3 linked regions of the Mus musculus genome follow. The protein of the gene in region 3 purifies or fractionates together with the protein of the main gene of each other region. This does not show direct contact. Links are inferred from orthologs where the notes say so. Each region holds a gene or a part of one and is shown on either strand. Other genes may lie near its edges. The genes, in order: Fus, Ncdn and Eftud2.

Region 1 (3,647 bases), on a different chromosome or scaffold from region 3:
CCTGTCTCTGCTGGGAATAAACAGATTAAATATATTTTTGAAAAAAGGATTATACTCCAATCTCAAAAAATGCCAAAGATTGTTTTTACTACTGAGATCACTAAGACTTGTTTCTAATGGCAAGAATCTAAGAGCCTGTAATACAGTTAAGAGGAAGTACCTACTGTTTATCAAGTACCTTAATAATTCCAATCTGCTTGAAGTAATCAGCCACAGATTCAATTGTAACATTCTCGCCTAGGCCTTGCACGAAGATGGTATTGTTGTCTGAATTATCCTGTTCTGCTTGTTCAACAACACATTAAAAGAAAGGTTTGAAGAAAAAACGGAAAGACAAGTTAGCCAGGTATACCAACCATATATGTGTACTTTTAAAGCTTTCAAGAAAAATGCTCAGGATTCTTACCAGTTACACAGTATCTTATTGGATAATCAAAAACAATCCATATTTAAGTATTATCTACTTCCTTCAAAAATTTTACATTTACTCATTACTGTCCTTGAAACACCAACACCCAATATAAAAACCAGTTTCCAAACTTTCATTTCTAGACTCCTTAGTTTAAAAAAAAAAACTTTTTATGCCAGGGCATAGTGGAACACTCCTTTAATATCAGCACTCTGGATGCAGAGACAAGTGGATCTCTGAATTTTTTTTTTTTAATTAATTCTGTATGTGAGCACTGTCTGCTGTCTTCAGACACATCAGAAGAGGGCATCAGATCCCATTACAGATGGTTGTGAGCCACCATGTGGTTGCTGGGATTAGAACTCAGGACCTCTGGAAGAGCAGTCAGTATTCTTAACCACTGAGCCATCTCTCCAGCCCCAGATCTCTGAATTCTAAAAACAGCCTGGTCTACATAGTTCCAAGACAGCCAAGGCTATGTAGAGATCCTGCCTCAAAATAATTATGTAGATGACTGTAACTAAAAATCAAAAGAAAGGAATGAGACCAATTTCACATTTAAATATAGTATAGCCTATAGGAATACCATCAAAAAACATCTAGTAAAGTGGTTCCCTTAACACATCTTTCAGTCTGGTCTTTTTATCCACCTAATGTTACTCAACAGTTTACATGTGTGCATTTCTTTGTTTTGGTTTTTAAAACTGAGTTTAGTTTCTCTGTATAGCCCAGGCTGTCGTGGAACTAGCTCTGTAGAGCAGGATGGCCTAGACATGAACTCAAGAGATCATCCTGTTAGGAATAAAGGTACGAAACATCATGTCTGTCCGGGTGTGGTGGCGCACGCCTTTAATCCCAGCACTTGGGAGGCAGAGGCAGGTGGATTTCTGAGTCATACAGAGAAATCCATCTCAAAAATCCAAAAAAATAAGTAAAAAATTGTCTGGTTTAGTAATTTTTGGACTTTAAAACACCATCAACTTTAAAAGAACAGCTCCCAAGCAAGACCCACGACGTACTAGAAATAATAAATACCAGAATCTGAAGTCTAAACTTCCAGATCCAGGGTTTCTAGCATTTATACAGCCCCTCCCATCACTCTCCACTTTTGCAGTATTTTTTGTTTCTAAGAAAATCCAAGTGAATACTATATAAAAACCATGGGCTTACCAGAATCATGACGAGATCCTTGATCCCGAGGACCTTAGTTACATGAAAAAAAAAAGAAAACAAAAACAAGGAAAAGGAACCATTAGCTAACAGGAAAGGACAGATAAGGCAACAAATTAACATCAAATGCAAATTCTTGGAATGTATTAGGTAATTGCTTCCAGCCTCTCTCCAAACCCTATCCTGAGGCCTTCCCAATGGAGAAAATTCTAGACGGAGACAAGGGCCTCTTTCTTAAGATCTGCTACTTTGAATCCCCATTGATAATGCCACACACTTCAAGAAAATGCTGTTTTCCCCCAGCTAGGGCTGGGAAATGTCCTCAGCACAGATGGGGGTAGGGGAATTAGTAATTCTTTTAAATTAACCAACCAACTCATACATAACTTGGCCCTGTTCTCTCACAAGAGAAGCATAGTAAGCTCAACACCAGCAATGTAAAGTGCATCCATCCAGTTTCTCCAAACTTTTACACCAAAGACAACCCTTGTAGAACAATTTTTAATTTCATCTTGAAAACCATTCTTAACCATGTTGTTTCCCCAAAGCAACATGAAAATAACATACATAGTAGCTACTATTGTATTTTAAAAGCATGTCCCAGGGAACAGACCAGAAGTGTTTTCATAATACAGCCTATTTTTTTCCAGACACCATCTTTAACCAATGTTTATCTAAATTCACCATATAAAAATATTGTACCTGTACACAATGACACCTAAGTCATGAACCCAAGCCTTTGGCTTTAAGTGTTTTTAGACAAATCAAGAAACCATTTTGTTAAACAAACCAGAAAAGTTCCAGCTTACTAGGAGACTTCTCAAATTTGCCATTTTTTTCCATGAATTCAAGTTTGTGCTGTGTAAAACCTGGTTATTTCCCATGAGCAATACACTCAAGATCTTTCTTGTAGTCCACACCTTCCTTCCCAGATCTAGTTCCTATATATTTGTCTGAGTACATATGTAGAATTGCATTGACATCACTATTTAATATAAATATATATACACCAACTTTACCATCTTCAGGGCAGGGCACTATTTCATGTCCCTCTCCCTAAATTAAAACATTTGGGAGATTGTGTATACATACACACACGCACACACACACACACACCTTGGACACACTGATCAAAAGGATCCTAAAGCCAAGTTGGCACCACATGTTCCAGAACATCCCCCAGTTGCCCAGGATGGTGTGGTCACTAAGTGCTAGATGTGGCAACACCCACCAAGAGGCCTACTAAATAATACTATTAACTTGTGTAAAACCAATTTAGTAACATAGCAGACTGCCAAGAGCTTATCCCTGCTGGCCTCCAGTTAGCACACATCTGGCAGCAGGAGGCATTCTACCCCACCCCTTCTGGAGGTGGCTACAGACACTTTAGAAACCTTTGACACTTAACACGCTAAGACATCTGCAAATGAACAATCAGACAAAGCATTGCTGGGAGTTGGGAATTTTGGAAACTCTGTTCACTTACCACCAAATTTATTGAAGCCACCGCGGTCACTTCCGCTGGAGAAGACAAGTTAGAAGAAAGGACATGAAGCTTCCAACGGCTACAAAAGGGTTGGTTTTTTGTTTTTTGGTTTTTTTTGGGTTTTTTTTTTAATATTCCCCAAACATGGATTGTTGTTTTGGGAAAAAGATTCAAGAGGCTACTAAAATATACCCCTTCCTGACCACCCTTGTCTGACCTTTGAGCTTATCACACACACGTGTGCAATTTCTCAGACACAGTTAAGGATTTTACTTTAAAAAGTTTTATCTATATCCTCTGGAAAAAAAAAGCTCATTTTCCTTGGTTGTTCTTCTGACGTAGATGTTTTTTCCTCTTGTAGCAAGTGGTGGACAACCCAGCAGTTGGTTTAAAAGATCTACCCCAAATTTCCCAGAAGACATTTCACACCAGGCCCTGAGATAGCCCTGAACACGTGATTTTTCATTGTTTTGTTTTGTGGTTTTTGCTTTGAAAGCAGCAAGCAGACCCAACCCCATTCCATAAAAAGTCATAACCAAAGGCAATTTCCCCTTAGAGCAAGACAAACTCAGCTAAGCCCTA
Region 2 (3,747 bases), on a different chromosome or scaffold from region 3:
CTCCTTGGAGACAAGACAGGTGTGACCTCTGGTATCCCTATCATGTCTGATTGCCTCATGGAAAGGAGTTTGTCCAGTGGCCCTTCACTACACATCTGGGCAAACGGTCATCACCTGGCCAGCTGAGGAGTGCCTCCTGGTCTCTAATCCATTAATCCATATGCCTAAGACCTGGGAGGCAAGGGGCTTCAGAACTCAAATCCTCTAAGGATTCAGGGTCCTTCCCTAAGGACTTCTCTCCAGAGAAGTCTCTGATCCATTTCCGACACCTTCTCACGGGAAATGGCTCCTGTGTCTCGTTGCTCCGCATGTCAAAACATTTCCCCTTACGTTTCGCCTAAACACCTCCTCTGCTGCAGTGTGAGCCCTTGACTCCAGAGCCTTCTCCCTGTTGCCATGGCAAACAAGCAACTGCTGCACTCCCTCCTCCCTTCACCCCCCACACACCAACTCATCCCCCCCCTCCCACCCCAAGCACTGCAGCTCCTGCTTTGCTGTCCCCAGCTTGGGTTCCTCTAGCAGACTAAGACCCTTTACTTTTGACATACTGATCATCACTCTGGTCATCTCTCAGAACCTCTTGCTAGTTACTCCCCATCCTGTTACTCTCTCAGGTCGAGGAAAAGCTACCCCGGCCCACAAGTACTCTGCACTAGTTACAACCTGCTGCTGTTACCCTATGAGTCAGCTCCCATCTGCTCCGGGACGCCCCAAAAAGCAAATCCAGGCAGCCTCCTCCGTGGTCCCATGCCACAGTCTTATTCACCCCTCTTCTCCCCTTCCCCCATTCTCAAGAGAACAGAGTACAAAGGTAGAGGTCTCAGGCCTTTTTTGGTACCTCCGGGTTGCCAATACCACTTAGATACCCCTGGAGACTTGCTGACCCCATTCTTTGGGGGCCCTCCTGACCAGCCCTCCCACCTTCCAGGTCCTTACTAGCAGCAGGGCTGCAAACTGCTCGCTGTCATTCTTGGCCTCACGGAGGGCTCCCAGGTAGCGCTCCAGGGTGGGGTTTCGGCTCTCTGCCTGGTTCAGAGCTGGCTCACAATCCGAGGCCATGATGCCCGCCTTGCCCAACTGTGAACACAAGAGGGACTGAGCATCCCTCTGCAGAGGAGGGGCGGGGGCGGGGGTGGAAGTGGAGGATGTAGGGAGGGATTAGCACAGAGGGAGGGGGGGTGGATTTGGAAGGGTGGCTTCCTCATGACTGACCTCCCTTGGGGGAGCCCCTTTAAGAGGCTGGACCTACAAATTCTTTAGGATGAAGAAGGGACCCTGGTCCAAGGTCACCTCCAGAAAAGTGGGATATGAGGACCATGCATGCCGCTGCTCAGCTGGACAGCTTTCCTCACCAGTCTAGAAGTGGGAAGGAGCTGGCCCAACTGCTCAGCAGCCCCTGGCACCAGACACCGGGTTTTATCTCTCTCCAGGAGGCACACGAGGAGTGAGCGGTGAGGACAGACAGGGAGGAATGCAGACAGACACGGGTCAAGTTCGATTATCCGGACTCACGCCGACAAGGAAGAAAAGGACATTCTAGGGTTCCTTTCCCCTCCCTTCTTCAGAGAAAGTAGACTGGCTTCAGCAGGAGTGAGAAGGCAAGCTCTCCAGAGAAGGCTTTGAAGACTCCCCTGTGGACCCACCCCTCCAGCCAGGGCTCTTAATCGCCCCCGCAGCCTCCTTGCCTTCTCTTCTTTCCCTCCCTCGGGCAGAGGCTGCAGAGGCTGCAGAGGCTGCAAGAGCAGGAGCTGCAGCTGCTGCTGCAGCAGCAGCAACATTAACCCCTTGTGCTCCCTGTACTCTCCCTGTCCGTCCCGCTAACAGCCTGTGGGTGCCGGCACTGGCTGGAGAAGGAAAGAGGGGTCGGGTGGCTCTCAGGATAACAGAATCCAAAAGCCGGATAATCGAAGCGGGGCTGCAGTGATGGAGAGATGAGAAGGGGAGAAGGGATCCTGGCGGTCACCACCTGTCCCGCCGCAGCCAGGTCACAACACGACATTGATGAAGTCGAACGACAGGGCAGCGATGAGATCACACTTCACGATGGCGCGGTGATGTCACGGAGAGATCACAGCGAAATCACGACATGAAGGGGACAGCCCCCAAATATGATAGGGCAAATTTAAAAAAATATATAGGTAGATAGATAAATACTGAAAGGGGTTGTGACAAAATGGAGTCTCGACAGGGTACGGTGATGTCGAGATATGGCACGATGGAGTCGCGATAGGGTCCCTGGGGAGTCTCGGCATCGATCAGCGCCGGTTCGGAGAGGCTCCGGCTGAGATGCAGGGGAGGGCTTGAAGGGGGCTGAGCTCACCAGGCTGCGGCCCCGAGCGGCGAAGTCTTTCTCCGGGCGCGATGCTCCGGGAGCCTGGGGCTGCTGCTCACGCCGCGTTGCCCACTCTTGGCTCCAGGCTGCTACAGCTCCACCCCCACCCCCGCATCGCTCTCGACCAATCGGCGCTGGGCTCACTCCGCACTCTGACCAATGGCACAGCAGGGCGCTAAGCAGTAGGGGGGCGCCTCCGGTGCGGCCATCTTGCTTGTGGGCAATTGCCCGAGTCTGGGGCCTGAGTGCTCGAGCTAAGGAGGAAAGGTGCGGGCCGCCCCGCAAGGGCTCGCGGCCAAAGGCTGAGGGCCCGGACGTCCTCGCTTGTGCGTAGCTCTCCCCTCAGCGCCGCCCCTCCTCCCACTTTTGGGCTCGCGGCTGGAATTGCGCTTCCGGAGGGTGGGGGCAGGAGGACTGGCTCAGCGTGAAGAGTATGTTTCCGGGTTGAGCCCCGGGAGGTGGGAAGGAGGCGGCGTTTCCGGCCGCGGTCGCTGTCCAGGGAGGCTGAGGCAAGAGGGAGCTGTCCGGGTGGGGAGCCAGCACTTCCTTCTTCCTCCTCTGCGTGAGGGGAGAGAAGGTTGGGGGTCCCCGAGCCCATGGATCGGGAGGAGGCGGAGGCCGCCGAGAGCCGGCACCCCTCTATGTGGCCCTGAGCCCCGGTAGGTGGCCGGGGCGGCTGACTGCCAGGCCGAGGACCAGGAGCTCAGGGGAGGGGCAGAGGCGGGACGGGCGATGCCTCGGGTACGCTGGTCCGGCGTTGGGACCCGGAGATGGCGCTCCTGGCTGGGACAGGACAAATCTGCTGCTTCTAGCCTTGCAGGTGCCAGAGTCCCAATCTGAACCCCTCCGCTTTGGGACTCAGGCCTGGTCAGGCAGCTCCCTCTATTCCCTGACATATGGGCAGACCAGGCTGAGGCACTGCGGTCCTTATGATACTCTCGACCTCTGCAGCCTCGTCCCGAGTTGCTGTCTCTGGTGTTTGATGATCTTCCCATCGAGATTAAAAGAAAAGAAAAGGGAAAAAAAAAAGTTGATACAGAATAAAGGGGGCGGGGCTGGGCTCGTTGGCGAAAACCTTCCTCCTTGAGAATTTTGACAATTATGCCCCTTAGAGGGTCCTGCGGTGGCTGCAGTGAGCACAAAAAGCGAACTGAAGGAAGTCAAAGTAGAAGACCTCAGGCGGGGTTCCAGGAATGCTTTGCCTGGTCTCATCTCACGGTGGTTGTGCCCAACTGACAATAGAAGCTGTTAAAGCTCCTTAGCTGACTCTCCTTGTGCTATCTTGTGATTAACAGACTGGAAACTAGGAACAAATTGGAAAGACGACCTCCTAGAACAATCTGTTCATTTTTCCAGCTATTTGGAAAACAGTGTTTGCAAATATAAGCAAAGCTATTCATGCAGTCTGTTCTGTA
Region 3 (3,747 bases):
ATCCCCAGCAAAACACAAAACCACAACACACACACACACCTATTAATTCAGGTGTTTCATCTGAGGAGGCAATTTGGAGTTCAGATTTCTGACTCTTCATTCTTTCACATAGGATTTCTCTATATCAGTTTATTACCATAAAGGAACAGAGCGGGGGAGGGGGGGAGAGGGGAGGACAGACACAGATACAGAGAGAGACAGAGAGGTTTCTTTTATTATCTACTCCAGCTCAAGGACAAAATTTCACACTTCACTAAATGTCTTTAATGAAGAAAAAAAAATCACCTCAACCAAAAGCAATGACAAAGCAGGAAGTTGAGAAGTGTCAGAAGGAGAAAACTCAGTAGCCTCCATCCCCAAATCCCTGAGCAGCACAGAGCGGCAGGCAAATGTGTGCTGTGTGGGCATTATCTCCAGTCCTACCACTGAAGTCCTGCCGCCTCCCGGTATGTGTCTGATGGGGCTGTTTTCATAGGAAGCTATGTGTTCCGGTCTGGCTTCTGACATTTACTTATGATACCTCTTTCCACCTCAGAATCCTGGTGAGCTGGAGCCATAGTTCACTCATGATCAGCCCTAGGGCAGGAAATGAGCTGGTCCGCAAGCAAATCCACAGCCATCCCAACCATGATGGGAAATGGAACGCCGAGAAGTGGGCTGTGTTACTCAGCCAACAATTGTACTCAAGAGTCTCATACCCTAAGCAATATTTTGGGGGGTGAGGAGATCTCGCTGTGCCTAGTTTGCTCTCTCCAAAACTTCTGAGCTCATCATGATCTAGGCTCAGCCTCTAAGCAATAGAGACGATAGACTCTCGCTACCCGACCCATTTCTCTGTCGAGTTCTAAGCCTTCTCCAATTATAGAATGACTAGAGCAATCCCCTTTACTGTCCCTAAACCCTCACCCAGTCTTGGACTCCCTGCTTTCTCTCGAGAAACCCCGGATCTGGTAGAACACCTTAGTGCATCGCCCTCGCAACAGAGATTGTTGCCTAGCAACGGCGCCACCAGTCTGCCCACGTGACCGGCCCGAAGGCCCTCCTTTCAGGCTGTCCTAAGGCGCCTGATCAGAATCCTCCGGCCTTGCTTTTTTTGTGGAGAAGTCCACGCTTCGTTTTGAGGACCAACAAGTTGGCCTTTCCCATTTCTGTCTCCGGGGCCAGAATTTCTCGAAGCTGTTCCTTAGGCAGAGCTGTCCTCCGAGGCGAGGCGGTCCGGCGACGCGCTCGGGGTCCTTCCTAGCGCCGGGCGCCGGCGTTGTCGCGGCGTGCGGCGGAAGCGCGGGCTCAGGCGGCGGACCGGGGCACTCGGCTGAGCATTCGGCGGGTGAGCTGGCCGGGAAGGGTCCTTTCGGGGCTTGGGGAACGAGCGAAACATGAGCTTGGGAAGAGGCGATTTATATAGTACTTATCCCTTTCGCTTAACGAACGCGTAAATTGAATTCTGGCGTGGGAAAGAGAATGAAAGACCCCAACGCACGCACACACCGTCGATTCCGGGGTTTCCGCGGTCCCCAACGTGGTTAAGATCCTGTCCCTTAGTAGAGGTGGCGCTGTAAAGACCCAGGCCCCTGCCACTCCCCCTTCCATCGGTGCCTGCTTCACCGCCAGACTGTCTCCATCTTCAAACTATTCTGCATCCGAGCTGACTGTGATGGCGAGTGCCTAATTTTTGCGCTCTGGAGATGCAGACAGAAATATTGGTGCAGGTTCAAGGCTAAGTAGCGGGTCTGGTTCAAAAAGCCAAAACCAGAAAAGATTCCAGCATTCCTTTGAGATTCTGCGTTGCAGTGGGAAGATGCAGTTTTGGTTATTTAGAGTAGCTTTACTTAAACTAAGCATATCACTAATTCACTCCCCTACCCAAAGCCACCCTCGAAAAACAAAACTAGCAAAACGTATTGAGGGCCTATTTTGTCCCAGGCACTGTTGTCGTTTTGCTCCTATTTTATTATTAACATTTATCAGTAGCGGGCACACACACATGTTCCCTAAGTACTACTCAGGCATAACCTTGACTTTACTTAGGCGAGGGGTGTAACTCGGTGGAGAAGTGTTTAGTAGAGTGTGAGGCCCAGGATTCGATCTTAAGCACCCAGCCACACACTAAGAGATTAGTGTAAGGGTGGCCTGGCAAGTATATGTGGAGTGACAAATAGGTGACATTAAAGGAAAAGGGTGAGTTAAATGAATTAAGAAGGTATACATAGCCAGAGGACAATGGGAATGACAATTATCCTGGGGGCAGAGATGAGTTTGGCTTGTTCAGTAAACAACCTTCTTTAAAAATTTGTGATGGTAATCTTGGGAGAAGACAATGAACATAATTGTGGTTGCCTCTTAGAAATAAAAACAGTAGGTATACTGTAAGAAATACCAGAATTTCAGAACAAAACATTCCACTCCCTTAGCTTTACTGAGTGTCTTTTTGTGCAAGGTGCTGTCAGGGGCATTGGTGCGTGAACACAAAGGAGCATGGGGATTCACGTGCTCAAGAAGGTCAAGTTTTGTTATGACCAACATTTGTTACTTGTTGCTTTTTGAGACAGGGTCTCTCAGGATGTATGTAGGATCATGGGTATAAGATCCTATGCTTGGATAATCACACTGTGTGTGTTTCTGTGTGTGTGTGTGTGTTTCTGTGTAGTAAGTGAGGATCAGATGTGCTGTGGCTTGCAGGTGGAGGTCAGAGGACAGCTTCAGGGTTTGGTCCTATCTCCTCCTTACTGCCAATACCAGGCTAGCTGGCTCTGAGCTTCAGAGAATCTCTGCCTCCCATTTCCTGTTGGCCGTCTAGGATCACAGACACTCACACTACCCTATGTAGCTTTTCAGTGGGTTTCCAGGACTGAACTCAGGTTATCAGGCTGCACAGCTAGGTACTTACTCATTGCCTTTATAAGGTTTTAGGCAATAATAAATCACTCTAAGGAGGTAAACTAACTTCTGTGAGTTACGTCATCCTTAGAAATGAGGCCAAGATAGGATGGATCGAGGTCTTTAACCCCAGGGGCCTGATGCTTTTTCCCCTGCTCTGGTTTGTGTTGCTCGCAAACCGTAGAATTGTTTTTTAGAATAACAACAGTTGCCTAGCATTTGGGACAGAAGATACTGACGAGAGTGAGAGGCTGAGGGGCTGGGAAGGCTGGTAGGGTGAGATCTAAACTGTTCTTTTGAACAGAATATTCAGTCGTTGAAGTGGGGGGAAATCTGCTGATGTTGCAGACAATTGTAAGGTAGCGTGTGGTTGATGAGATTCGAACCTGGGTCCTTTAAAAGAGCAGTGAGAACAATGAGTTCTTACCCATCACTAAGGGACAAGCATGTCCGCTGTCACCATAATTAAGGGTCAAAGTTAGAATCATCAGTGAGGACAAGTTGGAATCGTGTACCTCTCAGAGCAGAGGCAAAGCCACACGAAGGGAGATTCTTCAAAAGCCTTGGTTTGTAATCTGGAAAAGTGTCACGTGAAAGTCAAGTACGATCCTAGTTTGTGTCCTTAGCAGTGTCGTTTGTGACTGGAACAGTTTCTCAAACTTGGTGGAGCCTGTGGATTAGGTAGTATAACCTGCTGGTATTCATTTTTATTTTGATGATTGCATTGTGATATTTTGAGAATACTATTTTTTTTTTTTTAAGTGAGATGCTGGAAAGAGAGTTTAGCATTTCAGAGTACCTGCTAGGCAACCATGAAGACTTGGAGTTAGATCCTACCTAGAACTCACATGACAATCCTCATGTTCCTAA

Evidence for each region.
Region 1: the proteins of Eftud2 (region 3) and Fus purify together in Homo sapiens (affinity purification with mass spectrometry; 3 studies listed by BioGRID and IntAct, with this or other methods). This does not show direct contact. The link is inferred for Mus musculus from reciprocal best matches to the Homo sapiens genes EFTUD2 and FUS.
Region 2: the proteins of Eftud2 (region 3) and Ncdn purify together in Homo sapiens (affinity purification with mass spectrometry; 4 studies listed by BioGRID and IntAct, with this or other methods). This does not show direct contact. The link is inferred for Mus musculus from reciprocal best matches to the Homo sapiens genes EFTUD2 and NCDN.

The regions. Positions count from the first base shown.
Region 1 is NC_000073.6:127,973,853-127,977,499, reverse strand, and holds part of Fus (RNA-binding protein FUS), read right to left. Parts: intron 3,101-3,647; coding exon 3,066-3,100; intron 1,613-3,065; coding exon 1,580-1,612; intron 283-1,579; coding exon 179-282; intron 1-178. UniProt on the Homo sapiens protein: DNA/RNA-binding protein that plays a role in various cellular processes such as transcription regulation, RNA splicing, RNA transport, DNA repair and damage response. Binds to ssRNA containing the consensus sequence 5'-AGGUAA-3'.
Region 2 is NC_000070.6:126,751,005-126,754,751, forward strand, and holds the start of Ncdn (neurochondrin), read right to left. Parts: upstream 2,426-3,747; 5' UTR 2,000-2,425; coding exon 1,967-1,999; intron 1,564-1,966; exon of another isoform or gene 1,513-1,563; intron 1,078-1,512; coding exon 937-1,077; intron 1-936. UniProt on the Homo sapiens protein: Probably involved in signal transduction in the nervous system, via increasing cell surface localization of GRM5/mGluR5 and positively regulating its signaling. Required for the spatial learning process.
Region 3 is NC_000077.6:102,878,475-102,882,221, reverse strand, and holds the start of Eftud2 (116 kDa U5 small nuclear ribonucleoprotein component), read left to right. Parts: upstream 1-1,246; 5' UTR 1,247-1,327; intron 1,328-3,747. UniProt on the Homo sapiens protein: Required for pre-mRNA splicing as component of the spliceosome, including pre-catalytic, catalytic and post-catalytic spliceosomal complexes. Component of the U5 snRNP and the U4/U6-U5 tri-snRNP complex, a building block of the spliceosome.